Linked DNA regions of Saccharomyces cerevisiae S288C. The protein of the gene in region 2 interacts with the protein of the main gene of each other region in a biochemical or structural test. Each region holds a gene or a part of one and is shown on either strand. Other genes may lie near its edges.

Evidence for each region.
Region 1: the proteins of RPS4A (region 2) and DIM1 are reported together in a solved structure, tested with the Saccharomyces cerevisiae proteins (one study listed by BioGRID).

What each region holds. Positions count from the first base shown.
Region 1 is NC_001148.4:27,130-40,757, reverse strand, and holds DIM1 (putative dimethyladenosine transferase), read right to left. Parts: upstream 1,638-13,628; coding exon 681-1,637; downstream 1-680. Other genes in the region: ACM1 (Acm1p), read right to left, coding at 1,960-2,589; PLC1 (phosphatidylinositol phospholipase C), read right to left, coding at 2,913-5,522; KAR9 (Kar9p), read right to left, coding at 5,811-7,745; ATP-binding cassette permease MDL2, read right to left, coding at 7,955-10,276; ATP15 (F1F0 ATP synthase subunit epsilon), read right to left, coding at 10,491-10,679; PBI1 (Pbi1p), read left to right, coding at 12,594-13,628. UniProt on the Saccharomyces cerevisiae protein: Specifically dimethylates two adjacent adenosines in the loop of a conserved hairpin near the 3'-end of 18S rRNA in the 40S particle.
Region 2 is NC_001142.9:701,527-718,963, forward strand, and holds RPS4A (40S ribosomal protein eS4 RPS4A), read right to left. Parts: upstream 1,543-17,437; coding exon 1,529-1,542; intron 1,273-1,528; coding exon 501-1,272; downstream 1-500. Other genes in the region: MGM101 (Mgm101p), read left to right, coding at 1-165; YJR146W (uncharacterized protein), read left to right, coding at 2,359-2,712; HMS2 (Hms2p), read left to right, coding at 2,670-3,746; branched-chain-amino-acid transaminase BAT2, read left to right, coding at 4,218-5,348; YJR149W (putative nitronate monooxygenase), read left to right, coding at 5,634-6,848; DAN1 (Dan1p), read right to left, coding at 7,285-8,181; DAN4 (Dan4p), read right to left, coding at 10,729-14,214.

The DNA.
Region 1 (13,628 bases), on a different chromosome or scaffold from region 2:
AAATTTTTTGACTGAGACTGACGGTACGGTTTCTCCTCTTTCCCCTAAGCATAGTAGCTAAAACTACCGAAAAAGCTATACCAATCGGAGTGAATTGCGAGGAGCATGACTAGATGTCACGAATGTTTTGGAGAAGACATGATAATGAGTTCACTTACTGTCACCGCCTGGGAAGCTTCCTCTGGTCCCTGTGCGGAAATGCATCACCGCCTAGCGACTCCCGCCGCAATCAGTGCCGTGCCATCTAGCGACGCCGTACGGCCACTCTACACTGCCAGCGACGTCGCTATCGGTATTGGTTGCCGTTAAGTGAAAAAAAAACAAACATCGCTATCTCAACAGAGTTCCACTGGGAAACAATAGACGCACTTTTATGCACCCTGGTGCCTTCAAAAAAGAAGTTTGACTAAGAGGGCTGAGGCTTAAGCTTTTTAACCGTAGTAGTTCAACTATATAAGATAACGATTTCGAAAAATAGGAAAGATACAACCATTCTTTATCGTACCTATAAGGATGTGAGTCCTTCTTATCAGGGGGAGTTACGTAAAAATGATTCCCCACTTTTTGTCTTCTAGAAACAAACCAGCCCCGCTGTCAAGATAAGCTTAATTTTGAATTGCTTTTTTTTTTCTTATCTTAGGTAAATAGTATACAAGCACTTACATAATTGATAAGAGAGCTCATGAAAAATGGATACCAACCTGGTGAAAAGCATATAATAGCCTTAGGAAATCATTTTGATCACATTTACCCGCTCTTTTGTCGCCTAAGTCGGTCTCCTTCAGAACTGTGTCAATCTTTTCCTTGACGACATCGTGCATAGAACCCTTTGTATCATCCACCATTTCGTTGTTCATCGCCAAAAATGTCTTATAATTCTTCTCCAGAATGTCCATCACGGTGGTCGATTTGAAGCCAGCTGAAATCGTTCTGTTTTTCCTCACAAAGACGATTCTCAACAAACCATCCCATTCGTTGTAATCCACTTGCGGTCTTGGATTTTTAATCTCTAGTCTAACAACGCTGGATTCCACTTGTGGTGGCGGTCTGAAGTTATTCTTACCCACTTTCATGATGTGTGTAACATTAGCCCACATTTGTACATTGGCGGATAATCTACAGTATAATGAGTCACCTGGTCTTGCCAGTAATCTTAAAGCAAACTCTCTTTGAAACATAAGAATAGATACTCTTGGTGGTCTTGGTTGGTTAATTAATTTGAAAACCAGAGGCGATGAGATCTGGTAAGGAGTGTTACTAATACAGATATCAAAGTATGGTAATTCAGTCTTCATAAAATCTCCAAGCATGATTTCTAACTTTTTCTCCACAGGTGTGCCACGTACCCTCTTAGTTAATTCTGCAGCCATTCTGGGATCCATTTCTACTGCCACTACGTTTTTTGCTTGTTCGAGGATCCTTACAGTTAGGTTACCTGTACCAGGACCAACCTCCAAAACAACATCTGAGGGTCTAATCTGTGCCTTATCAACAATACCTTGCGCCACCAAAGGATTTTTCAAAATATGCTGACCTAGATCTGTGTTGAATTTAAATACTGAACTCAAATGTTTCTCGGCAGAGACTTGTTTGGACGAAGTTGCTCCGGAGTACTTCTTTTTCGCAGCCTTTCCCATGGTATAATTTTATTTTTATTTGTATCGATATAAAAGGTACGACGTCTAAAGCTTCTAACCGAATGAGTCCACTGTATAATGCACTGTTCCTAATTTATCGATCTTATGTTATAACCAAATATTTTCAATTTTCAGCTCATCGCGATTTTCAAAAATTTTTCTACCCTCTAACCCGGGTAATACACAAGGATGGATTTATTATTATTATTGATTCTTATTATTATTACTACTCTGTTAGTAATTTACACACGAGGTGAGGAATACGTGAATGAATTAAATTGGTATCGTTAATTAATTATTAGACGCTAACTGTGTACATTATTTACTCATCTTCATAGACGTGGAAGGACAGTTTTCTCACTACTTTTTTTTCACTGACGTCATCGGTAGAACGGGATATCTTTGTCTCTGGGTTCTGTCCTTGGTGTTTACTAGTGAAGAAAATAGATATCTTCGAATTTCTTGGCGGCGTTATAAAACTGGGTAGGCTGATTTTTTTATCACCCAGTGGCAACGTCAGTGGTATAGTCTCATCGGTGAGAGGATCCTGTATGTAACCTTTGAATTCGTCAACACTTAAGTCCTTCAATGCAATTCTTCCTCCTTCCCTTAAAAATGCTCTTTCATAAGGGCAAATTTTAGCGGGTGAAAGGTTTTCTTTTACTTGGGAAGGATTATTCTCATTGCTCACAGAATTGTTATTATTGTATATTTCATTATGTCTGTGGACAGCTATGTTTCTTTCTTCAGCCGTTTCCTCATACAGCATAAATTGTGCAGCTTTAGAAATTTGGATTGTCTTTATTGGACTTCGCCTTAGTGCATAGTCTGTGTCTATTTGTGACCTTCTCTTTGATGGTGAACGAAGTTCATTGCCTTTTACCACTGCTCGTGGTTTTTGGTTTATATTCTTGCTTGATAAAATGGTTCTCTTTTTTGATGGTGATATCATCTTTCAGTGTCTCTTACTTTATTTCTTCCAAAGGATCCTAATTCAGTAATGCTTAATATGTTCTCCTTTCTTTTTACTTTATATAGTATGATAACAAAAGCACAAAACTTCAGAAAGAAGACGCGTCAACGCGCTACGCGAAATATGCATCAACTTTCTGCTGAAGAGAAGGCAATCAGCGAAAAACAGAAGTTGTTATTGTGTATTGTCGTGGTACTTCGTCGTCCCATTTGATATATCCATTCTAGGTAATCATGTTGGTATATGCAAGTAGGTATATGTACGTATTTATGAATATGTGTATTTGGCCGGAAAAAGATCGCCTATAAAATTTGTGTATGAATAAATAAAGTGCAAAATATGTATTGTTCCCCCTCCATGTTAAACAACGGAATGTGACGATATCCCATCCTCAAATAGTTCAGCTTAAGGCAAACAGATGCAATCTGGGTCTCTTCAGAGATAACCATGAATTTTATAAATGTGAGGTCTGTATCTTTCAATGTGATAGAAACTTCAGCATCCCATATTGGGTTGAATCCATTCCCTTGAGAACTCTTAGTGGATGCTTCAGTGGCAGAAATCCTTGTACCCTTATCGATTGAGATGGGCATTGTCGGCTCGTCATCGGTATGAAACTCCACTTTAACAAAGGAATTGGTGTTATTTCTGCTTGGCGATGTATCATTCAATCTGGGCAATAACTGTGTAGATAAAATTCGAATTTTAACAGTAACAGGATCACTACCATTTTCAAAATGTTCGTAAATTAATGGAATCATTTTCGCCTTTGTTACTACAGGTAGCAACTTTTTTGGTTTTAGCACGTATCCTGATTTAAAACTTCCATCAGGTTGGTGATCTAATATTTGAAACATTGCCAGATTAAGTTGCTGTCCAATATCATTAGTTTGCCAATTCGTAGCCACCATTTGTACACCGGCCTTCCAAAAAGGTATTGGGTTAAAATTTGATGATTTGTATCGTAAAACGTGAGGATAGACTCTCATCAAATATCTTCTATTATGTTTATCCAACGATAATTTTAAGTGTTTGTCTTTTATCATGTATTCTACTTTGCGCTCATTCAGTGAAAAACAATGCGCTATCGTTTTGGACTCTGGTAAAGAGAAATTCCTGAACTTGATGCCATGTATTCCAGAAATGTTAGAAACATCATTAATTATATCAGCGTGCTTTTTTAATCCAATTCTTTTGATGCGTTGCATACTAGAAGAATTTGTTGCGCTACTACTGTTCGTGGAGTCATCTTTCATTCTTAATTCCTGTTCATTAGCTGATTCGTAAGAAGAACTAAAAGAAGATGGAAATGGCTCATTAACGCTAAGACCTCTAGTTGCTTCACTCGTCTTCTTGGATTTCAACAGTATTTTATGTTTTAATTCCCTTGGTGATGGCAGTTTATCAGTTCTTGTGCCAACAAAGTACAGCTGTTCTGCTAAAACCTCTCTCATTATCAGGCTTGCCAATTTTTGATTATCCTTGTTACAGTTTATTTCCAGTGAAATAATCAAAGGATACGGAGACGTTATAAAAGCGTACTTCTTTATCACGCGTATAACTGTTTTTAAGGGAATAGCTGACGTTAAAAATCCATGGCATACCACTGGCCCATTTTCACCATCCCATATATCAATTTCTACGCACCTACAACCTTGTTGTAGGACTTGAATATATCCCTCCACAGATGGAGTTTCTGCAATTTGTTTCCCCAATAAATAAGTATTATGTGAAGATGCAATAAAATAATGGTTTAATGGCTTTGAATATAACTCCTCTTTAACCTCCACCAAATATGGTTGCTCCTTCAAGAACTTGGTAAAACCATCTTGCCCCATCGTCAGCTGAGTCGGTTCTCTGTACTTAATAAAATATGACCATGCAGTTTGACGATCCACTTGCTCATGCTGCTCTGTAATTAAAAATTGAAAAAAATTTTCAAATGATAAGTGGGAGTGTGGAGGTTTTGTAAATTTAGACCAAATCATATTTACCTCTTTCCTATTCTTTAAGATTTTAATGAACTTTTCAAATTCAAAATAATTTAATAGTCCGTTATGATTGATGTCTGCTAATTGGAAAAACTCTAACAATTGACCAGTTGACACATAAATATGAAATTTATCACATAGTTTCTTCACATCTGCAAAGCTCAATGTGTCCTTTTTCTCATCTTCCTCTTTTTCAGAAACAGTAATTTGCCAATGTATCCTAGCGAATTGCGAATTATCAGGCAAAAGTATGCTTTCCATTAATTCCCTCCTTAACTTCACTAAACCGCAAATGCAGCTTAAGAATGTGTTAAAGTCCAATTCATTCAAAGCAACTACGTGTAACGCTTTCAATTTGTTGGAAACCTTATAAATAATAGCAATCCAAAGTTTACTGTCCGATCTCAATCTTTTCGGATCTACTTCCTCTTGATAAGTACTCGCCGTATCACCGATTCTGATGTCTTTAACGGAGTCTAATTCCAGATACTTCGAACCATCTTTCCATATTATTTGCCCGTTGTTATTGATTAATTTAAATTCATAGAACTTCCTTCTTCTTCTTGTCATCCTAATCATCCTGATTCCTCTTTGCAATACGCGACATAGCGTGCTGAGATCACAGTCTTTTCTTAATTTCTTGTTAACAAGCTCATTTATCCCATGTGAATAAGTAAGAGGCCCCATATGGACTCTAGGCAATTCGGCTGCTCTTCTAAAAATCGACCTTATGCTTCTTCTCACAGTACTTCCATTGTTCGCGCTTTTTTGGTCAGTATTAAAAGAGGATTGAAAAGAACTGTAACTTATAAAATCTAAAGCATCATCCTTTTGTGTTATTTTCCCTTGATCTCTGCATGAGTGTCGTTGTAACTCCTTTGTAAGATTAAACCTTTGGTCATCTATAGCACTTTCAGTCATTCATATACACTGCGTGAATGACCTTACCGTTGTACGTTTATAATTCCCAGTCTTTTATTGTTTTAATGACCTGAGGCTGCTTATGTCGTGATGCTTATACTATTTTTTTTATAAAGCGTCGGGTAAAGGTGTCAAAAACTGTAAAATGAAAACGTGCGGAATCTTCATGGACTATTTAAAATTACACATAATATTACATTATTTAAACTAGTATTACAAATTCTATGAATGGAGAGGGTGAGAGGGAGGATATATAAAAATGTATAAGTATACAGTTTTAGGTTAGTATCAATAAGTTGGGGTTTTATCTAAACGCCCTTCTCTTGGTGAAAGTAACTGTGATAAGGGGGTGGGAGGCCTCAATCGGGTTCTTCTTCTTGTCGAAGGGACCCAAACTTGACTATTAGGTGTCGTGATTTTTGTTGGCGGAGTCTGGAAAACCTTTGCTATCGGTGTGTTTTCTACGGTGACTTTCACCACTTTATCCTTGTATATAGGGATCCTAGAGGGCAAGGACCGGTAATGATTCCATTTATCTTTTTCGATGTCAAGCACAGACTTATTCTTTGCCATCAAAGGAGTTTCTGTAATCTGTACTTTATTTTCATGCCGAGATGTAATGAAGGAGTCTGGTGACTTTTCATTTTCCCCACGAGAAACACGGAGGGTGGTTTCATCGGTTTCGTCATAAGGTAAGGGAGGAACACTACTTAGTATCAGTTTTCCTTTGTTTGGCGACTCCGGATCAAAAAATGGATTAATCGCATTTGATGAATTTGGGCTTGTTGCAGGTTTAATATTCATCTTCTGCAGTAACGCTTTACCAAGCTTTTTACCTTTCAAAGCCACTGTAGTTGAATTTTCCGGTGTTTTATTACTGTCACCTTCATTAATGGCGACTCTCTCCTGGAAATCCTGGGTTATAGTTCCAATAACACTATTCGGTCGCCCAAAGCCTAATGATTTCGGTTTTGGAATCTTCTTCTTGCTAGTAGCTATTTTGTTTGAAGCGGAGGATTTGATTAGAATTTTATCCGCTGTAGGCTTGATATTCAGCCATCTTTGAGCTAATTCATTTGTCTTCGATGCGACGCCAGCGTCCAAAAGTGAGAATTCCAATGCTCTGTAAATAATATTGAATGTCTTAGAAACAGTTTTTGATTTTCTCTCCAATTGCCTCTCGAGCCTTATAGTGATATCTTTGGTATACTTTGTTGTCAGTAATTTCGACTGCAACCTTTCTATCTCATCAAGAATGTATAATAGTTCATGATTTAAATTAATAAAGAGTATATTCCAACGTTTGTCGATTAGTTCGACTTTCAATTCCCTAAACTCTGAATTCATAAATCTATAATCTTTCATTATCAGCTCGTATTTTTTTTGCAAGATTGTTTGCAAAGTAGTTATGTTTGTTATATTCCGGTGCCCAAATTGCACAATTCTTTGAGGTAGGATATCAGTCAAACTTTTTTCAATTGGAGGGATATTTTTTTTTAGGTTCAAGAACTTTCTTGATAAAATATCTTCTGCCGGAGAAAATTTTGGTACCTTTGGCTCAGTTGTCTCCGTATGCGTTCCTAATAACTTGACTAGTTGTTCTAGGGTAAATGATGGAGTATGCCGTATCGGGGACGCGAACCTTTCTTCCTGAATTTCCAGACAATACGATATATTGCTATTAATGATTTTATGTAATGTATCCATATGATCCTTTGAAATTTCGTTAAATTCCAATGACGTATCCAATAATTCCTTCAAGTTAGTAAGCCATGGCTCCAACTGAGTCTTAATTTGTGTAGATTCTTCTATGACGTCAAACATCGGGCTAAATCGATTGTATTTGTCGCTATCCTGATCGTCCTTCGAGAATTCATCCTCTAGTAAATCCAACAAATGAGCAAAACCTTCCTCAATATTATGAACGTCACTAATAAATTGATATAGCATATATTTTTTCAATAATAACCAGTCCATAAACAACAAAATATCGTCTTTTCCCAGTCTTTTCTTGTTGACTAAGTCGGGAATTACCGAGGCAACGTTCTCCAAATCATCATAAAATTGAACTAACAATGTCTCTGATATACTTGTGGTACTCTCATTCAATGAGTTGCAATCGTTTATTGAATGTAATGTATTGTGAATTCTTTCTAAACGTTCACAAAAGTTCTCTTGGAAGTCATCCCCAATGGTCATAGATCTGGGTCCATCATTATCCATGGCAGTGCTACTGAAATCTTTAAGGCTGTTACAGACAAAGATTCGTGCGGCCACATTACACTTTGTTATTGTTTCAATGTTATTTGTTTATGCTACCAAAAGTATCGATTCGGGTAATGAAAATCCTTTTTATTTGGCATTTAACAGTATTATATATAGTATATATTTAAATGTGCGAGATAAGAATGGGTATATGCGATGCGGATGACTCACGGTTGTGGTGTGATCTTAATTGGATTAGCCTCCTTTGCCGCGTCTTTCAGGAGATGTTCGACAGATTTTTCAATATCATCTGAATTATTGTCTTTCGTCTCTGGAGACTGGTTATTGCTGTCGTTATCATGATTATTATCATTATCGTCATTATCGTCCTTTTTCTGGTCATCATGCTCCTTACTCTCATTCAAATCTTCCTTTTCGATGACCTTCTCTATTTGCAGTTGTTGGTCAGATGGCCCAGGAGCCGCTTTCTCATTAAGTAATTGCGATAAAGCACTTGTTGGATTCGCATACAATTCTTTGAATTTGCCCATTTCTACCACTGATCCATCATGGCCAAGGACAATAACATTCTCTGATCTTCTGATCGTACTTAGCCTGTGCGCGATGCTAACAATAGTCATCGATTTTGATTTCATTAGTTGACCAAACGTATAGTTAATGGCTCCTTCACTTTCAACATCTAAAGCTGATGTAGCTTCATCAAGAATCAAAATAGTTGGCTTTTTGATTAGAGCCCTTGCAATCGCAATACGCTGCTTTTGTCCTCCACTTAGTAAGGTGCCGTGAGGACCAATTACCGTATCGTATGTGTTCGGAAATTTTGTGATAAAGTTATGGCAAAAGCACTGCTTTGCTACTGACCTGATTTCTTCCTTTGTTGGGGTATATGTCAACCCATAAGTGATATTATCCCTAATAGTACCTGACATCAGTACCGGCTCTTGCTGAACGATACCAATATGCCTTCTTAGGGATTTACAATTCAATTTAGAGATATCTTGGTTATCTATCGTAATAGTCCCAGTAGTGGGATTATAATATCTTAGCAGTAAGAGTGCAATTGTAGATTTACCACGACCTGAAGGGCCCACAATACAAACACTCGATCCTGGCGCAATTTTAAAATTTAAATTCTTGAATATTTGAACAGAAGGCCTTGTAGGGTAGCTAAATGAAACATCTTTAAATTCGATAACACCACGATCTGGTTTATACTTGTGTCCCACAGTCGGTGAAATGGAAGGTTTCCTATCTGTTAATTCAAACAACCTGGAAGCGGCCCCAGCACCCTGCATAATTTCCGAATAGAAGGTAGAAAGGCCGAATACCGCATTCCCCGTATATTCTGTGTACAGCATAAATGCAGTCAGATCACCAATGGAGAGCTGTGATTGTAAAACAAGATAGGAGCCATACGCAAGGACGGTTAAAAAACTTAGGTCACCTAAGAGACTAGTTGTAGTAAAAAACTTTGCGTTTGTAAATGCCGCAGTTTTTCCCACCTGAAAAATATCTCTAATTGCAACGTTATACCTAGACAATTCATTACCTTCAGCAACAAACGACTGAACCGTCTTGATACCAGAGAGTTGTTCTTCAGCGACTCTAGTCAATTGACCAGTAGCTTCTTGAAGGTCTTTAGAGGTGTTTCTAATTTGCTTCCCGAACACTGAGGCACTAAAAAGAACAGGTGGAGTGAAGAATAGTAACAATATTGATAGTTGAGGTGACAAAGAACACATCATCCCCACGCCAACAACCCCACAAATTAGGGCTTTGACCCCATCCGAGACCTTCTGGGTCATTGATCTTGAAACAACATAAGCATCAGATCCTAAACGAGAAATTAAATCCCCAACTTTATGGTTGTCGAAGAATTCTGCGTCTTGATGAAGCGTTTTTTTAATGACATTTGCCCTTAGGCGTGCAACAACACGCTCACTTAGTATCCTCAATAATATAAATCTACCAAAATTAGCAGCACAACCAATCAGTAAAGCAACAGTAAAAAAGGAAAGAAACTCATATAAAGGCAAAGAAAAAATCGGTATCTTCAAATCAAAAAAATCTGATCCAGATGACGTCTTAAGTGTGTCAAGGACAATACCTATGACTTTAGGAATAGACATGCCTATGGAACATGATATGGTTAAAAGAAGTATGGCTGTAAGAAGCAGTTTCCAATCCCGTTTCGCCAACATAAATAACCTTATTATATCTTTATAGTCATCAGTTTTAGATTGCTCCTTTGCATGTGCCGACCTTGCTGATCCTTTAGATATGGGAGAGGCTGAAGGCAGAGAAGTTTCTGGAACTGTTTTGGATGAATTACATCTAAAACTTTGTAAAATTAGTGATTTTCCAACTGCAGGTGACCTTAAACACAACCGACTGAGAGGAATGAGCTGCGATGAAGAAGGGGTGACCAAAGACCGAAACCTTATAGATGGCAGTTTAGCCAGTCGGGGACGGGACAGCATGTTTCTGCATATGCCCAGCCGCAAAAGTGGTAAACGACCATTCAACATTGCGATTGGCGATGATGGGACATATATTTCTTTTTCTTTTAATGCAATGATACAAACTTTATACCACTCTTCGAAGCGGCCAGTATTCAATATCATTGTAGTCATTATTAGTTTCCCGTATAAAAGTACGTAAGTTTTCATACACAGTTGCTAGAATATTTAAAATGTATATCAGCGAGTAAAAAAAGAGCTGCAGTTCCCAGGAAGCGTTAAACTATTTTGTTATTGGAGTGGGTTCAGAAGCTGCAGTGCCATTTTTATATTGGGTATAAAAAGCATCTGTTTGCGATCTGTTAAGAACACTAGCGGTTTGTAATTCAGTTTTCAATGAAGAACGGATAGCCTGAGCGGCCACATTCAAATATGCAGCATATGATATACCAGCTTTCCTCCAGGCAGACATTTTATGAATCGGTTGTGGGCTGAAACTGTTGATGTTTCTTAGAAATACATATCTTGCTAAGTACTCAATAGAAAGGCCTACTTGTATCTCTTCATTTAACTAGACGAAAAAGGGGAGGATCAAATTTCATTGGTTCGTATAAAAGTATTAAAAAATAAGCGCGTTGCCAGACTTAGTGTGAGATAGTAAGCTAGTAAATCATCTGCTATTACCTAGTTTAGCGTATTTCCTAATAAGGATTACCAATTCCTCAAGTTCATGGCTTGGTAAGATACAGCTATAGCTTTCTTAGTTTTTTTCTTCGAGAGAACTAGTACAATGCTTCTATAGAAGTTAAGAAGTTTACCTTTTCGAAGAACAAATATATTGTTGCTTTGCTTACTCCGAGGTTATCGACTATTTTTGGCAATCCGTTTGAACCTGGATAAATACGTAAATCAGACTTTCTTTAGCCGGATCAACTCTTTTTTTTTTGTAAGCACTCTGACTTGTCGCTGCTGTGTCTGCCAATAATTCAATAATTCATAGTATTTCATACCATATGCTTTATTTAGTGTCCCACTGATGTGAGTTGAAGAATTGTATTCAGATAGGCATATCTTAAGGTCCAACTATTGCCACCGTCGTAGTGCGGAAAGGTTGATTATCGAGCGAATTAGAGGAATAAATGCTGCTATGCGCACGATGAGCAAATCGGAAGTAAACCACGCCGCTGATCCACCTGAACAAAAGAATCTCGCGGAGTTACGATTTAATGTAGGTTTGCTCAGATTACGTTACTGATACTTTACTTTGGACAAAAGTTCTCATACAAACTGTGGAAACAACACCGCTTAAACCAACGATTATGAAATGACATGGTCTAAAGTAATATAATCTATATTAGAATGTGCAGATGGCTATGGTATCCATGCGATGGCAAACCTCCGCAATGATTGGCGTTCTAGCGGCTATCCGAATTCACAATCGACAAGAAGTACTTCTAACTTACACAAGGCAACGAAATAATATCACTCTATGAAACTGCCATTTGGGTAATAGGAGTATATTGAACGACACCGGGTCAACAAGCAACTTTCCTAAGCCTTTTACACTTCTTCACATCATTCAAGATCGCCTTTTAACGAGCTACAAACCTTCACGTTCGTTCTTCTATGGAAACGTTTAAGATAACGTTAAAACGTTCTCAATCACAGAATTTAAGATGATTAGAAATGTTTTCCAAGGGATAGGGCGAAGCACAACCTCGAAAAATGGCAAAATTTTAGAATCTTAGCCACCTTAACGTCTACTTAGAGCCTTAGAAAAGCCATCAAGATTGGTGGAATAGTTGTTGAGGGAACTTAGCCGCCACATTCTCGTAGCCAAATAAAGCGAATCTGACCATTGTATGTTTCTTTTTCACTGGTATGATAGCCCAATGTGTTTAAGGAAAGTTAGGACAACACACCCGAAGAAGGACGTCACCCCTGCATTCCCAAACGAGCTATGAAATAGCTCTTTCCTCTACAAGTAATAACAACAACTTTTTTGTCTGTTTTCCGACCGTTTAACTTCAGAGATTAATTTTTTCAACGCGCTTTCGTTGAACGTCGCAAATTCGTTTAGAATAAACGAAAGGTGACAGAAATAGAAGATTATAGCCATGCATACGCACATAAATTGAAAACTGTTTCGAGGCTGAGTATTCCCTGCGTCTGCAGCCATCAGGGGTATGACTCTGCTACACGTTTACTATATTCTTGGCTAAACGATTCATTAACGAAGCGATGAGTAGATCACACTCGGCATACGAGCACAAATTTGTATGGGGGGACGGTCATATATAAAAGGGTGTATACGTTATCCTTGTTATACCTGTCCAAAGAAGTGCATTTGTAACTCACAACACAGACACATCCTCACTTTATCATAATGACTACGTTTAGGCCACTATCAAGTTTTGAAAAAAAAATTCTCACTCAATCTTTGAATGACCAAAGAAATGGAACTATTTTTTCGAGTACATATTCAAAATCTTTAAGTAGAGAAAATGACGCTGACTGGCATTCTGATGAAGTCACGCTCGGAACAAATTCTTCCAAAGATGATTCTCGTCTGACTCTGCCCCTAATAGCAACAACTTTGAAGAGATTGATTAAATCGCAACCGGCATTGTTTGCAACTGTAAACGAAGAATGGGAATTCGAGCCATTGAAGCAGCTGAAAACTTCCGATATTGTTAATGTGATTGAGTTTGAAACCATAAAAGATAAGGAGGTCAATTGCCATTGGGGTGTTCCACCTCCTTATCTCTTGCGTCATGCCTTCAACAAGACTAGATTTGTTCCCGGATCAAATAAACCTTTATGGACACTATATGTAATTGACGAAGCGCTATTGGTTTTTCATGGTCACGACGTATTGTTTGATATATTTTCAGCAGCTAACTTTCACAAATTATTTTTAAAAGAGTTAAACGAAATCAGCACAGTAACACACTCTGAAGATAGGATTTTGTTTGATGTCAATGACATCAATCTCTCAGAATTAAAATTTCCCAAATCGATATATGATAGCGCAAAATTACACCTGCCCGCTATGACACCACAAATCTTCCACAAGCAAACTCAGTCATTTTTCAAATCAATATACTATAACACTTTAAAAAGACCTTTCGGCTATTTAACCAATCAAACTTCCCTCAGCTCGTCAGTATCTGCAACACAGCTGAAAAAGTATAATGATATTCTAAATGCGCACACCTCATTATGCGGGACAACAGTATTTGGGATAGTAAACAACCAAAGGTTTAACTATTTAAAGTCAATCGTTAATCAAGAGCATATATGTCTAAGAAGTTTCATCTGTGGTATTGCAATGATATGTTTAAAACCTCTCGTTAAGGATTTCAGCGGTACAATAGTATTTACTATTCCCATAAATTTAAGAAACCACTTAGGCTTAGGT
Region 2 (17,437 bases):
TGTTGCAAAGATCTCGGCGTCGGTTCTGAATTATGGGACCCTGTTTTCATAAAGAAATTCAAAGTGGATCATTGTACTGAGAAGTTTGTGGAACATGTTACCACCAAGAGAAAGAAGAAAATTTGGTTAAGAAAGGACAGACAAGTTGAATATCCTTATAAATAGTCAATATGCGAACCATATAAGCTAATTTTAGTAAGTATATATATTCCAATACAATCACACACACACACACACACACACACACACACACATACGCATATATTGTGGTAGTGCGTAGTGTCAGTACGTCTTATCATACGCCTTCTATTTCAGGGTTAGCGTATTTTTACTATCAATATTACAATACGGATATATATACACACACCTAATATATATATTATACGTTATATTACTGCCAGTCGAAAAAGGAAGATACGATGTATTATTTTAAAATTCAATTTCTAATAAACATTAATGGAGATATACAAAAGAAGAAAATAATTAAGTTGTTATGAAATTTATAAACCTTGTTGAGCTCTTCTTCTGTCACGTTCTTCAGCAATAGACAACTTGATACCCTTACCCTTTGGCAAAGAAATGTAAGGCTTACCTTGTTCACCGATGACGAAGACATTGTTCAATCTAGTGACGAAAGTGTTGTCCAAGGAGTCCTTGATGTGAACTAAATCGAAACCACCATCGTGTCTTTCCTTGTGAACGATAGTACCGATACGACCCAAGTTACGACCACCAGTAACGTAAACCAACTTACCGGCATCGAACTTGATGAAATCAGTAATCTTACCAGAGGCCAAGTCGATCTTAACAGTGTCATTGACCTTGATGTTTGGGTCTGGGTATCTGATAGTTCTACCATCGTGGGTAACAACGTATGGAACACCCTTCTTACCTAATTGAACCTTCTTGACCTTACCCAACTTGTAAGAAGCTTCTTCATCGGTGATACGGTGGACAGCGAATCTACCCTTGACATCGTAGACCAATCTGAAGTTTTCATTGGTGGCATCTAGAGTGATGACATCCATGAAACCAGCTGGGTAGGTAGTGTCGGTTCTAACCTTACCGTCCACTTTAACGTGACGTTGCATCAAGATAGCCTTGACTTCACGGCCGTTCAAAGCATACTTTAATCTGTTTCTTAGAAAGACAATCAATGGCAAGGATTCACGCAATTTGTGTGGACCAGCAGATGGTCTTGGGGCGTAACAACCGGACAACTTGTCCAATAACCAGTGGTGTGGAGCTGCTAATCTTTTTAGATGCTTCTTTCTGTACGGAAAAAAATGAGAAAAAAGGGCAAAAATGAATGTATAATGAAGATACAGACATTTTATTTTTTTCATTGTGCTCGTTAGTAAATCATTACTCGTAAAATATTTGTACAATCCCAGGATGATCTAAAATTAAATGGACATAAACTGGTTCATTGTTGTTCCTATTCGTTTGGTTAAGACTCCACTTGTTTCTTGTCTATCATTCTTCTCATCCTTGCGTAATTATAATCAAAGTCTATAGTCAAACATACGGTCCTCTAGCCATCTTTGCGTATTGATTCTTTGGTTTGTTTTGGGCAGAAAAATCGCTATATAAGAAAGTATTTCAACACTAGATTAAATTATAGTATAATTTTTAATATACTAGTATTGCCGACAATCTCTGAAATTTCAATACTACCACACAGAACAGGACTTGCCAGGGCCAGTCCGAGCCAGCCTAACTCCAAGACCACGTACTAAGTGAATTGCTACTCCCCCTTACCACGACTACAAAGAGCTACACGGCCTCCCGGCCTAGGCCGCTGCTACTTTCAACTGATGTCACCGAAAAAAATAACGGAAAACGACAGTTCAAGAAAAAAAGAACGCAGGAAGAAAAAGGAAGCAAAATTACAGAATGTACGGCTGTTTAAAAATAAATAGTGGATGCATGGGTGCTTCCACGCGTCTCTGGGAAAAAAAACCAGGATATTTTAATGTTTGTTTATTTGTTTATTTCCTGCTGAACTGAATATTGAAAACATCGAAAAAATGCAGTACCCAGCTCTCCATTAGGACTTTTTACGTAATGACGAAAATGGACAAGCTGCGCAGGAAAGGACTACGAAAAGTATGCTGCCATAATGACAAGATAAGGCGCAACACACGTAATCATGACTAATGGTTGCACAGACGGTAGGCCAGGAGAAGGATTAGATCTCGTGCCGAACGACAGCAAGCTAGCTAGACTATGTTATCTGAGTGTAAACGAAAGCGCAGCAGTCTCTGCAAGAGCACGTGCGACGTGTCTGGTGTGCAAAAACCCTCTAGAGAAACATTGCTAAGGTTTACCGATGCAGGAAATCTTTAGTTCTAAAAGATGAAAGTCGGAAAAGCCAAAAAGAAACCGGAAATCTTCTCTGCGCATTGTTCTGTGGCCACGGCCTTCCTGGACCCGTCCTTCTTTTACCCGAACTTTGTCGCCCAAAAGGCATCTCATTATAATGACAAAACTGGATCTGCAAATATTTGGACATATATCTCCAGAACGGGCTCACTTCTCCTCTTCACCCAGGTGGTATATAGGAAGAGTAAGTGGACGCATCAGTCCGCGACATTTGCGGACTGTATATATTGCCAGTCAGGGCAGTCGCCAAGTGTGTCTCTTTCGTGTAGCGACGCACGTCAGACATGGATGCAACATCGAGGATGGAGCAGCCTGATGTCTTTGTAAGCAAACTCTACCACCTGCTGCAGGGGAACGCTTACTCGAACATAATACAATGGTCGACTGATGGCAGCAAGCTCGTCATTTGGAATCCGGACCAGTTCACCAAAGTCATCCTAGAGCGATTTTTTGGTATTCACACCTTTGCAGCATTCGTTAAGCAATTGAGCAAATATAACTTCCAGAAGGCGGGCCGCCCGGACTGCGTGGAGTTTTCCAACATTCATTTTCAAAAAGATAACATTAATAGCCTCTCACTGGTTAAAGCTCATCAGTCTGCCGCCACTCCCAATGTCGCCGCCGTCAATAATATGAATAAGCAGTGTACTTTTCACTGGGACCCTTTCAAAGTGAACTCCATTCTAAGCAAGGCCATCGGCAAGCCTTCCTTCGAGAAATTAGTGAAAAATGTTGACAGGCTTCAGGGCAATCTTGATGAGCTTAAGTCGACAAACGCAGATAGTCTGCGTATTATAAGGGAAATTAACGCCAGCTTACAGACAATCTCCTACCACCAGTTTCACGCCTACCAAACCGCTAACTTCCTTCAAGAAAATTTTGAAGCCATCAAAAAGGTTGTATGCCCGGACTCTTGTCTACAACACCAGCAACGCCAACCAAAGCGCCCCAAACGCTACTCGTTGCTGTTACTAATACCAAACGCATCCGAATTGTCAGAAACACCTTTGATGCGCTTCGCCGGCGTGTTCGAATTTATGAACTGCTCTTTGGATACGGCCACTCAGTGGCACCCGCAGTTGCATCCCGAGGCATACGACCTTCTTTTCGTCACCGTGTCGCCCAACATGCAACAAGAACATCTCATCTACTTCAAGAGACTGAGAAACCTACTCCCAAGCTTTCCTGTAATAGCCATTATTAACAGACCCGTCTCCCCTCAAGATACCAGCATTGCTCCCTCCAACTACTCTCGCTATTATTTCCACCATTTTTTGCAGTTGGGGTTCAGTGACATCCTAGTTAGCCCCTTCACCCCAACACAACTTATAACGCTCCTTTCCAAACATCTTCGAACGTGAAAACCTGCCTCTGAGGGTCATTCACGACCTAGCATACCACTATATACGTGTACGATTTTTTTTTTCTGTGACCGCACTACACCAAAGTTTAATGTTCCATTGGCCCCGGAACCATTCTTGCAAACGGCGTTCTTTTTCCGCTTTCGGGTGACACTTAATTTAGCTTCTTTTCCCTCTCTGACACCTCTTGTTATCTAATCTGTAGATCCGACTCTTTTTCTTTTTGGTGTCGTTCTTCTATGTCCGTTTTTCTGTCAACAAAAACGGAAATAATAGGTAGAAATTAAGAGCCGTACGTGAGTGAGAGGAGATCCGAAATGAGCTGACAGTATAACTAATATAAGCTTACAAGATATTCGACTATTTCCTGGGAAAAAATTCATTCCTTTGAGAAATCCTTAATAAAAACAGACTAACTACTAAAATTTTAGAAATTTAAGGGAAAGCATCTCCACGAGTTTTAAGAACGATATGACCTTGGCACCCCTAGACGCCTCCAAAGTTAAGATAACTACCACACAACATGCATCTAAGCCAAAACCGAACAGTGAGTTAGTGTTTGGCAAGAGCTTCACGGACCACATGTTAACTGCGGAATGGACAGCTGAAAAAGGGTGGGGTACCCCAGAGATTAAACCTTATCAAAATCTGTCTTTAGACCCTTCCGCGGTGGTTTTCCATTATGCTTTTGAGCTATTCGAAGGGATGAAGGCTTACAGAACGGTGGACAACAAAATTACAATGTTTCGTCCAGATATGAATATGAAGCGCATGAATAAGTCTGCTCAGAGAATCTGTTTGCCAACGTTCGACCCAGAAGAGTTGATTACCCTAATTGGGAAACTGATCCAGCAAGATAAGTGCTTAGTTCCTGAAGGAAAAGGTTACTCTTTATATATCAGGCCTACATTAATCGGCACTACGGCCGGTTTAGGGGTTTCCACGCCTGATAGAGCCTTGCTATATGTCATTTGCTGCCCTGTGGGTCCTTATTACAAAACTGGATTTAAGGCGGTCAGACTGGAAGCCACTGATTATGCCACAAGAGCTTGGCCAGGAGGCTGTGGTGACAAGAAACTAGGTGCAAACTACGCCCCCTGCGTCCTGCCACAATTGCAAGCTGCTTCAAGGGGTTACCAACAAAATTTATGGCTATTTGGTCCAAATAACAACATTACTGAAGTCGGCACCATGAATGCTTTTTTCGTGTTTAAAGATAGTAAAACGGGCAAGAAGGAACTAGTTACTGCTCCACTAGACGGTACCATTTTGGAAGGTGTTACTAGGGATTCCATTTTAAATCTTGCTAAAGAAAGACTCGAACCAAGTGAATGGACCATTAGTGAACGCTACTTCACTATAGGCGAAGTTACTGAGAGATCCAAGAACGGTGAACTACTTGAAGCCTTTGGTTCTGGTACTGCTGCGATTGTTTCTCCCATTAAGGAAATCGGCTGGAAAGGCGAACAAATTAATATTCCGTTGTTGCCCGGCGAACAAACCGGTCCATTGGCCAAAGAAGTTGCACAATGGATTAATGGAATCCAATATGGCGAGACTGAGCATGGCAATTGGTCAAGGGTTGTTACTGATTTGAACTGAAGTATCGCTATTGCTACGTAAAGTAATTAAAAGTTAAAAAGAATAAAACTAGAGCGTTTTTTCTACTGAGTTAAGGGGTCATGTCAGAATATAACATACCCTTTGACATTGTATATATGAATTCCTGGATTTTGCAGTGATCTGATAAAAAATGTATGTCGAAACCTGCAATTATCCTTTCGTTTTTTTTCTTGTCATCTAGTGCTGGCCTATCGGTATCAAGGACATCTTTTGCGCGGATAGAAAAGGGCCCATACATACCTTAGAAGCAACTCAAGACAATTCATGTACTTTTTAAACCAACTAATATTTCAAGACGTTTCCGTAATGTCGGTGGATAAAAGAGAAGATATGAGCAGATCTTTCCAAAAATGTTTAAACTTGAGATACCCTATCATCCAGGCCCCTATGGCGGGGGTCACGACTATTGAAATGGCCGCTAAGGCTTGTATTGCGGGCGCCATAGCTTCACTACCCCTATCCCACTTAGACTTCAGAAAGGTCAATGATATTGAAAAGCTTAAACTGATGGTTTCACAATTCAGAGATCAAGTAGCCGATGAATCTTTAGAGGGCAATCTCAACCTAAACTTTTTTTGCCATGATATCGTTGATAAACCGACCGATCTTCAAACAGCTAACTGGGCGAAGCTATACAGAAAGTCTATGAATGTGCCGATTGATATGAATGAGATTAAATTCGATAATGGTAATGTATCTTTTAAGGCATTTGAAAAAGAAAATGCTCTTCAAGATTTTTTCCAGTACCTATCAGATGGCTTTAGGCCTAAAATCATTAGTTTCCATTTTGGCCATCCGTCGAAATCTACAATAGAATATTTACAAAAAATTGGAATTCTAATTTTTGTGACTGCCACCTCTGTAAGAGAAGTTCGATTGTTAGCACGTCTCGGCATTAATGGCATAGTGTGTCAAGGCTATGAAGCGGGAGGACATAGAGGAAATTTCTTAGTAAATGACCCCAAAGATGATGAAAACTTATCAACTGTACAATTGGTGAAAAGAACAGTTGATGAACTTGCTGAAATGAAAAATAAAGGTCTTATACATGCTACTCCCTTTGTCATTGCAGCAGGTGGTATAATGGATTCCAAAGATATATCATACATGTTATCACAGCAAGCAGACGCTGTTCAAGTGGGGACTGCTTTTCTTGGTTGCAGTGAATCCAATGCATCAAAAAACTTTTCAAGCCCCTTCACTCGAGAAACAACAACTAAAATGGTTAATATAATATCAGGAAAGCCTGCAAGGACCATCTCTACTCCTTTTATCGAAAAAGTCATTGCTAATTTTCAAGGTGAGGAGCTTCCTCCATATGGCTACATGTATAGTGCTTTCAAGCAAGTAAGAAAAAAGTATCCAGAATTGGCTAACTTTATTTTAGCTGGACAAGGATTTCAGAATGTCCAATCAGGAATCACAACAGACAAGAAAATTGAAACTATGGGCGCAAGATTGAAAATTGACGGAAAATAATATAAATACATATAAAAGACCTGATACTTATTGACACAAATTTTCTGGATGACCTTTTTCTATATGATATATATACGTCGCTATTGGATCGTAGGTTACTTGGCCATTATTTGAGCGTAACCGTTCACAGGATGTGGGCTTTAAGGAATACAAAATCCAAATATGGAAAAAATTTGATATCAATTTAGGGCTTTAATATCTAAAGGTATTTATTTTTTTCACAGTTTTTTTTCTGTTAAGCTGTCTGCAATAAGGAATGCTCCTGACATGAAATTCGAAAAGGACCGGAAATAGTTGGAGCACAAGACTGCAAACTAAAAAACAAATTTCTTTGGAATTTCCTTACGCTTATAGTATATATCTTATAAATATTAAAATTAAGAGAATTCAATTATTTTACATCATTTATACAACTGTACAGGGCCGCACATGATCACTATAACAATAGAGCGGCGGCACCAGCAATAGCAGCGGCACCGAAAACACCGTTATTGAACTTGTTAGCACCGTTAGTGGTAACGTCAATAACACGAGATGCTGACGATGTGACAGAAGTAGCTGTAGATTGAGCTTTGGAGGAGACTGGCTTAGTCACAGTTGAACAGACGTTATTTGAACAACTAGTTATGGTAGTTTCAACAGTGGAAGCTTGAGTCTTTGTGACGGTGCTGTCAGTACCATTTTGGACCACTGGAGTGACTGAGATAGAAGATGTAGAAGAAACTGGAGCTGTGGTATTGGCAAAACTAGCAGAGCTTGCAACAGAGCTTGCAACAGAGCTTGCAACAGAACTTTCAGCAGAACTTGCAATGGTGCTTGCAGCAGAGCTAGATTCAGATGAAACAGTAGCTTGGGTGGAAGCAGCGTTTGAGCTGGTCTCTGCTGAACTTTCAGAGGAGCTAGAAGACTCAGTGGCGGCACTAGAAGCTTCTGAAGTGGAGGTGGAAGAAGCCTCTGTGGTAGAAGCTGGTACTGCAGTAGCAATACCTTCATTCGCAAGTGCTTCGGAAATAGCACCCATCAATCTAGTAGAGTACCATGGCACACCGGTGATCATTCTGGTCACTTCATCACCTGAAATACCAGTCAACATGGTGGTGAAATCGCCACCGGCAAAAACAGCCTTGGCAATTTCAGGTGGGTATGTTTCAGTCTTATGCAAAGCCTGGAAAGCGTAATATTCAGATAAATGGGCGCCAATATCAGAAACGTAAACAGCCAATTCAATCAAATTGACCCTTTCATCATAAGGGGATAGAGTGGTGGTCACGGATGCGGCGGTTGCACTTGCCACTAATGCTGCGGCGACAGCTAATATACTAATTCTAGACATTACTTGGGGTATATATTTAGTATGCTACACTTTTATCTGAAAAAGAAGAAATAGTACCGTGTCGACATAAAAATAGTATCATTTAGTCGTGCTATTTTATACGCAGTATTTTCAATCATTTCTATTCAATGAGTACCCAGGGACCCTTTTGCATTTCTAGCATTCTCTGTTCCTGAACGATGTTTTGTTAGAGGCCTCGTATAGATCTTGGCATTTTCAAAGGCACGCGTTGTATTGTTTTATTGCCTATCAAAGGAACGCGCAGGAAACATGAAACTTTTCAGAGGAGCGTCTACGGAGGATACATTCATCAATTTTTCCTCATAAATTAAACGATGTGTACAAAAAGGACGAATTGACCCCGTCGTTCGGCGAAACCTTATGTATTTTCCTGGCCATATGTGCTAAACGACAGATAAAATAGGAAATTCTCCCCATTTTCGACTAATAAGATAAGCGGGAGATAGCATCATATGAACTTTTGCACTCAAACGAAGAAAGCACGTGAGGATTGAAGAAAACGGATCGCCGAATCCAGCGTGAATTGAGCTCAACAATTTTTAACTATATCAATCTCTTTCACTTTAAACACTACCACTTAAATCTTTTTAAAACGCTTTGCCCAATGACCCTTTTTTTATTAAGGTTGCTGAGCTATTTTTTCTATACTATTGTCAAACTCCAAAGATATTTTGAGCTTTATTTTCTTGCAAACAAAATACCCTACTGCTTAATAAATGCAATGTATACATAGTTTTCAAGGTACATTATATTTTAAAGTTACCTCAGGCCTGTTTGCCCTTGCATTCTACAGTCCCTTTGTAAGGGTGTGAGACAAAAGGCCTCGTTAGCTACGACTGTTGAAATCGTTTGAATTCGGCTTACAATCTAACTTTGACTGCGCAATTGTTCATGAATTTATAGTGTGCTTGCGAGGGGCAACTTCATACGAAGGCTTGTAGGACCCCTAAGTGCATCCATAAACATGCTCAAAGATTGTCTTAGAAACCACAAGGAGAACGCACAGTATGAATTAAATAAGTTGCGCTCTGCTAGAATATTTTGACGATTACAAAGTCAGAGATCGAAACATTTCCGCTGTGCAACTAAGTAATTTTCCCAATCTTTGGAGAAAATCAATAATCACAAGATTAGTACTTATCCTCTTGTAGGCTTCTCTCTTTCGCTATAAATAGAGCAGAAAAATATGATACAGAAGGTCGAAAGTTTGCTTCGCTGACTGAAGCTTTCTGTCAAGAGTTGACAAAAACATACAAGATTCAGTATTGATAATAAATGGCCTGCACTTAAGACTCAACCATCCCAATAAGTTACCTAGTTGTGTTACCTAAGCTAGGAAAATACACATTGAAAGATGTTTTACAAAGTATTGTAAAGGTACAATGCATTCTAGGCCGAATGTTCATTTCGGATTGTAATATGTAGTCAACGATAACGAACCTCATGGTTATGGTTATTTCTGTTCCAAATTTGCAAAATAGATCTTCATTGTCGTTGTCGGAACGGGTGGTTTATAATTTTAGTAACCATAGTAACTGAATAAAGTGACCAAACAGTATACTTCATAGCTCCAGGCTAGGAAACAAGATACTACTGCGAAACTAGCGGAAGAAGTTACGTTAAAGATCTATTAATTCAATGTTAATTCAAATTTAATATACGTAGGGATGCGAGTTATTACATTGGAAATATAGCAAATCACTGAAATACCATCATTTTGAATACATTCGTCATCGCCGCATCAGTTATACGTTTCTGCTATACCGTATAAGAATACTTGCTTCTATTCTTAGTTATACTGAATTTTAGACATTAATAAACTACTAACGGTTGCTACTACACTACACTATTCTTCTACCAATGTCGATGAGAGCGAACTCTTCAGAAAGCAGTTTACTTGAATAAATTTTTTCAAAGGCCCTCATTTCTAATGCCTTGTGACCTAGAATTTAGCAGCGTCAACTTTATGGAGCGTTATTTCTCAATTCCATCTTTGTGCCGCGTAGTTCTATCTTACATAACTTTATTTTAAGAAGAGCTTTAGTTCATGTTCTTGGAAGAATTCCTTTTTTGACACGATTTTTAACCTAAAGGCTAAATTTTATTTAAACTAACAGTGAACAAAGTATTTAAAGCTTCATATGTGAGTTGTCGAACACGTCAATAAACGGAGGTAATAAAATGAAGGATGAGGGAAAAAAAAAACCATAATTTTAGGCTGAAGCCCATATTGTGATATTTTTAATGTTTTCTTAGAAAAATTAAAAAACTTCTCAATTAAATGTAAAATTTTACTTGTTGGCGATACCTTAGAGGATTCAAATTTAACTAGTGTTAATATACGAACTGGTAACACTAATGTTTAGATACCTGTATATCATACAAACCATTCAAAGTGTATAGGAGTATGTTCACAAACCGTAGTATTATGTGCTACATGAATCAAGTATAGATTTAAAATTTCTTTCAAGTCAATTTAAATTATTTTACAATTGTTTATATGCTTGTGAAGATTATATTGTATCACTATAGCAGTAATAAAGCGACAACAGCAACGATAGCGGTACCAAAAATGTTATCTTTATCGAAATTATAGGCACCGTTGGTATTGATACTGACAGTATAAGAAGCAGATGAATGAGCAATGGAAGTAGCCGAGGAGGCTTTTGGAATTGGTGAGATGACTTTGCTGGTAGCGGTCGCGATTGGTGCAGTTAACATGGTACAGGTTCCACCTGAGCAGTTGGTCACAGTAGTTTGAGTGATAGACAATCCGGTTCTGGTAAACATGCTAATCCCTGCATCGACAGTAGTCAGGGTGGTACAGGCACCCGCAGAGCAACTGACTTTAATCGCTTTGGGGATGGTCGACTCTGCATTGTTCGATGTAGTGGCTTTGGAGTTGAAACTACTAACCGGAGACATCAGCGTGGTGCAAATACCACCCGAACAACTAGTAATAGTAGTTTCCATAGTTAGCAACTCGGTTTTAGTAGAGGCGACATCTTCTTCATTATCTTCGCAACTAATGGTAGCGGTGGTAGTTGCTTCGCTGGTGATTGTAGTAACTGGAACAGTCAGGGTCGAGCAAACACCACCAGAGCATGTTGTTATAGTTGTTTCGACCGTGGAAGTTTCTGTAGTTGTTAATGTGTTCGCCTTAGCATTAATAGTAGTAACCGGAGACATCAGCGTGGTACAAATACCACCCGAACAACTAGTTATAGTAGTTTCCAAAGTTAGCAACTCGGTTTCAGTAGAAGTGATATCTTCTTCATTATCTTCGCAACTAATGGTAGCGGTGGTAGTGGCTTCGCTGGTGATTGTAGTAACTGGAACAGTCAGGGTCGAGCAAACACCACCAGGGCATGTTGTTATAGTTGTTTCGACCGTGGAAGTTTCTGTAGTTGTTAATGTGTTCGCCTTAGCATTAATAGTAGTAACCGGAGACATCAGCGTGGTACAAATACCACCCGAACAACTAGTTATAGTAGTTTCAACGGTAGAAACTTGAGTTTTCGTCAAAACACTATCTTCATTAGTACAACTACTCTTACAGCTCGTGATGACAATTTCATCTGTTGATAGGTTTGTAAATGTTGAGGTTGCATTACGAACATTTTCTATCGTGCTGAACAGACCGCTACTGATGGTGTTGGAACTTCTGGCATCACTGCAATTACTTCTTGAGGATACTAAGAGAGGGGAACTTGATGCAAAAGATGCGACTGACGATGTAGGTTCCATAGAAAATGAAGAGACGATCGATTGGGAAACAGTGAAAGTACTTAAAGTGAAACTTGACATATTTGATGACGAAAGATATAAGGAAGAAGTCCGCTCAGCAATGAAGCTAGTGGATGTAGACGTAATTGCAGTAGACGACTCTGGAGAGGAACTGATTTCACTGAAGGGAATATTAGGAGAAACTGAATCGGTAGAGCTAGTGACCACAGTTGAAGAAACAGCAAGTGGAGTGGAAGGCGTAGCAAAAAAGGTAGTAGATTGGGTAGAGGAGTTACCAGAGACATCAGATTTAGCAGAAACAGTGGATCTGGTAAAGAAATCAGCAGCCTTGCTCGAGGAAACAACGGCTGAAGTGAAAGTGGATGTGGCAGATAGACTTTCAGTAGAAGAAATGGATTCATCAGAAGAAGGTCCAACCAAAGAAGTGGGTTCAACTGATGAACTGATCCCGCTTGAAGTAAGTACTTCAATGGAAGAAGGAATCTCAGAAGAGGAAGTAATTACACTAGAAACTATTAGTTCACTGGAAATGGTGATTTGATTAGAGGAGATAGATTCTGCGGAAGTGGTTGCTTTACTGAAAGAGAGAGGTTCAGCAGAAGAGGTGATTTCACTGAAAGTAGACCCGAAGGAAGAAACAGGTTCTGTCGTGGTCACTTGACTAGACCTGATAGGTTCAACAGAAGAGGTGACTTCACTTACAGTAGTAGGTTCAGCGGATGAAGTGACTTGACTAGACCTGATAGGTTCAACAGAAGAGGTGAATTCACTGACAGTAGTAGGTTCAGCGGATGAAGTGACTTGACTAGACCTGGTAGGTTCAACAGAAGAGGTGAATTCACTGACAGTAGTAGGTTCAGCGGATGAAGTGACTTGACTAGACCTGGTAGGTTCAACAGAAGAGGTGAATTCACTGACAGTAGTAGGTTCAGCGGATGAAGTGACTTGACTAGACCTGGTAGGTTCAACAGAAGAGGTGAATTCACTGACAGTAGTAGGTTCAGCGGATGAAGTGACTTGACTAGACCTGGTAGGTTCAACAGAAGAGGTGAATTCACTGACAGTAGTAGGTTCAGCGGATGAAGTGACTTGACTAGACCTGGTAGGTTCAACAGAAGAGGTGACTTCACTGACAGTAGTAGGCTCAGCGGATGAAGTGACTTGGCTGGGACTACTTGAACTGATATATGTATCGCTCGTAGTAGTAGTAGTTGCAGAAGTAGTGAATGCGTTAGTTGTTGAGACACTAGAGGTTGTATGGTCAGTAGAAGCCGTAGATGTGGCAGGTGTAGTAAGACTGGCAAAAGTGGTAGAGGTTGTAGCAGTGGTAGAAATGACAGAGGATGCAGAGGCACTAGAAGTACTGAAAGTGCTTGAAGTTGTAGAGGTCGTGGGAGCGGTAGAAATGGTAGAAGTGGTAGAGGTTGTAGAAGTTGTAGAAGTTGTAGGAGCGGTAGAGGTTGTAGAAGTTGTAGGAGTGGTAGAAGTTGTAGGAGTAGTCGATGTGCTTGAAGTAGTAGGAGTAGTCGATTTGGTGGAAGTTTGAGAAGTGGTGGAGGTTGTAGAAGTTGTAGGAGTGGTAGAAGTTGTAGGAGTGGTAGAAGTTGTAGAAGTTGTAGGAGTGGTAGAAGTAGTAGAGGTTGTAGGAGTAGTCGATGTGGTAGAAGTTGTAGGAGTGGTAGAAGTAGTAGAGGTTGTAGGAGTAGTCGATGTGGTAGAAGTTGTAGGAGTGGTAGAAGTAGTAGAGGTTGTAGGAGTAGTCGATGTGGTAGAAGTTGTAGGAGTGGTAGAAGTAGTAGAGGTTGTAGGAGTAGTCGATGTGGTAGAAGTAGTAGAAGTGATAGTGGTGGTAGGAGTAGTCGAAGTACTAGATTTTGTAGTCGTTGTAGAAGTAGAGGTTGGGATAGCCGTGTAAATACCATCCTTTGAAAGCGCTGAAGAGATAGCCGGCTTTAATCTGGTAGAGTACCACGGAACACCAGTGATCATTCTAGTTACTTCATCACCCGAAATACCGGTCAATCGAGTAGTGAAATCACCGTAGTCAAAAACGGCTGCTGCGATTTCCGAAGGATATGTTTCAGTCTTATGGTGATTCCGGAAAGAGTAGTACTGAAATATGTGGGCTCTGATGTCAGAAACATAAACAGCCAATTCAATAAGGTTGACTCTTTCATCGTAAGGAGATAAAGTAGTGGTCGCTGTAATAGCAGCCGCACTAGTAGCTAAGGCTACAATTCCTGCTACGATGCTTATATTAACCATTGCTTTCTTCGGAGTTTTTCGGATATCGCAGATTCGACAGGAACTGGTACTTATTTCAGTTTGAGCATACTCTCAATACAGCCATTTACACAGGCCATTTATAGGCTTTCGAACCAAACAGCTGTTGTATAAACGAATATATTGGAGCAAAATCACTATCTTTGCCAATGCTTCTTGTTTTACAGTTCCTGAACGATGGAGATCTTAAACAGATCTCGTATAATTTTTGACATCTTTAAAGGCACGCGATGTACTGTCTTTTTCACCGCCAAAGAAATGCGCAGCATGTAAAAACTTCTCCGGAGAAAACGCCTACGGATGGGCAGATCGATCGAATTTCCCCGTGCCTAAATTGTTCTGCTCTTATTATCTGTGATTAAGTGACAGAACTGCAAAAAAAGTTAATTTGATGTCGTCGTTCAATAGACATTCACATAACTTTACTCTACGTGCTATACGCGCTACCAAACAGAAAGATCACTTTTTCCCAGTCAGTAGACACTGGGTCACTTGGGGTTTAGCACACTCGAAAAGGAGTAAATATGCTGCAAACGAGAATGTGCAAGCACCATTCAGAGGATCTTAGCTCGTAGAGAGAGAGAAGCTGTTTGTGCTATCCAATTTTGATCCTAGCGCTCCGAAAAAGGTCCGTATTAGGAAACTAGATCTTGTTAATTGAAATATCTCCTCATTTTTTTGCAGCCCGCCACTCAATGCGCTTTGTAACCTGTCATAGCTTGCACAGAGAAGTATCAAAGTCTACATGTGACAAAAAGAAAACCCAAATACTTCTTGGCTATGAATGTTATCGTTTGATGATAACATCCATTCCTCCAATTGGAAAATAATTACTCACGAAGGTTCTATGCATCCAAAGCGGAACCGTTGCTTTCATTTAATAGAATCCACAGAACTTTTAGTGTGATTTATACGAATTCCAAGGGAGACCTCGACGTGTGACTTGAATTAAGAAAAAGCCTTGCCAATCATAATAGTTCATATATGATAAACGGTCTTGATTCGGGTTCTTATAGCAACAGTAACGAAAAATCTCTACCCTCATAACTTAGTATTGTTGTGTTAGCGGTCATGAAATCTTTTGTATTTCCTTTAACATATCAGTTATATTTTCTTCACGCTACGTCAGCCCCATTATTGTGCCAACAGTTTACATCCTTTGCATTCAGAGGTGGTTCATTAGTCGCCTACAGCTGCCCGTTTGGAATGACGGCCCGTAGAGGACACGTTAATAGAAGACATTCCCCGCGATTCGACGAGTACGGCGCACTCTCAATGATTTGTAAAGGTTTCATATCAAACTATCAAAATATGCGGGGCTCTGCGTAAACAGAAGCAATCAGACTACATAAGGTCCTCAGTGTAATCTTACCGTAGGCCGATATGTCTTCCATTGTGAGAATTTCTCAACATTCTGTGGTTAATCAACCAAATCATGCGATACTAATGATCTTGACGGGCATACATAATAGAAGCTAAAAAAAAAAAACTAGCCTGAAGCTTATTCTGGGGCCCATATGCTCGAAATGCCAAATTTTCAAAAATCTAGCCCTACATGCACAACAAATGATTGTGCCTGCCTCCTGGCAGGAAAAGGGTTGATATGAAGATGTCCGGCGGCCTCTTAAACTTAAGATTGAAAGACATGCTAACCTTGTTCCGTTTTAAGGATAAAGAGGAGCCTCAATAAATGTGTAGTTATCCCTTGCTAATAAAATAGTCTTATTATCTCGCCACTATAAAAGTCGAAGTAAACAGACAGAGACATGTTCGATACTCCACTTGCACTTCGAAAAAGTAATTAGGAATCCTATATATGCGATGCTATCGTTAATCTTTTACCTTCGTTTCCCATCTTATATAAGGGGATGACGAAAATACCTTTCGGCTTACAAATCCATCTGTAACAGCTGAAAAAAAAAACCAGATCTGTTGATCAGTTGTAATCGTGTAAACGAGTACAAAAGGCCAGAGACAGCTTCTACTCCAAGCTTAAGATACGTATACACAAAAGATTTTTACTTGAAGGAGTAGAGCCGAAGCGTGTGAGTATGACAGCGCTGCGTAAAACATCAGAGACGTATGTAATCTTCTTGTCTAATCCATTATTGTCAATAACTCAAGCTATATTTACATCTTTAGCGAAGTCAGAAACTTATTGTCATCCTTTCAAGCCTCGCCGTTGACATCCGCTGTCAGCATCACCCTCACCTAAAGTGTTATTACACGAAGAACTGATTAAATACGCCGAGTTTGGGATGACCTGTTCTTACCCGTTCATTCCTTTTTATGGCACACTACGGTTAGTATACGGCGTTGGCCGTGTGATAGGGAAAAATAGGGTAGGTAATAGAGAACAATTGATGAGTTTTATGTAATTGTATTCGCGCAAAAATAAAAGAATATCAACAAAAAATTTTGATTCGTTTACTTCATAAAAAAAAATCCTAAAATTTATGAAAATGATTAAAAAAAGACATCCACTTCCCCATAGTGCTAAATTGGTATGGACGTTAAATAGCTTTTATCGTCGTTGGTTTTCAGACAAATGTGTAGCACCCTAAGTGTGAGATATCATATATTTCAGAGAATATAGCACCAAGTATCGTTATGCGTTCTGGTCCGTACCTGAGAGCTGCTCATAAGAATAGGCAAAAGCAAGAAAGAGTGTTCTGTCAGGAATTTTCAAACTATTTACAAGCTAGGAAGGCTATACGTAGTAAATAACAGCCACGATTCGACGTGGATAAACAAACATCTACGAAATCCCATTTTGGCATGAAAAAGTGGAGCAAGAAAGACTTGAGGTATGAAATACTTGCAATCTTTCACATCAACACTACTTTCAAGATGTTATTGCAAACAGAAAGTGCGATTCTCTTTCTTTCATCCGGGCGTTACAGATGACCATATCTTCAGTGAGGATAACGAAAGATAAAGAGTGCTGGCTCACATTAATGGAAAAAGAAATCTACCCGCTAATTGTGATGGCTCAGAGTTTCTTCTTATGATAAGGATGTTAGTTTATATCTTGACATGTGTGTTTCTATTGTACACCGTAATAGCAGATTAGATAAACGAGAGGTCATTCGTAAGGATGAAAAAATGAACATCTGTTTAACTTTCAAGCTTTCTACCATATAGCCGAGATGAGCAAATACATTAAAACATCAAAAAGTGGTGCTTGAATGCTTATTTTATGACG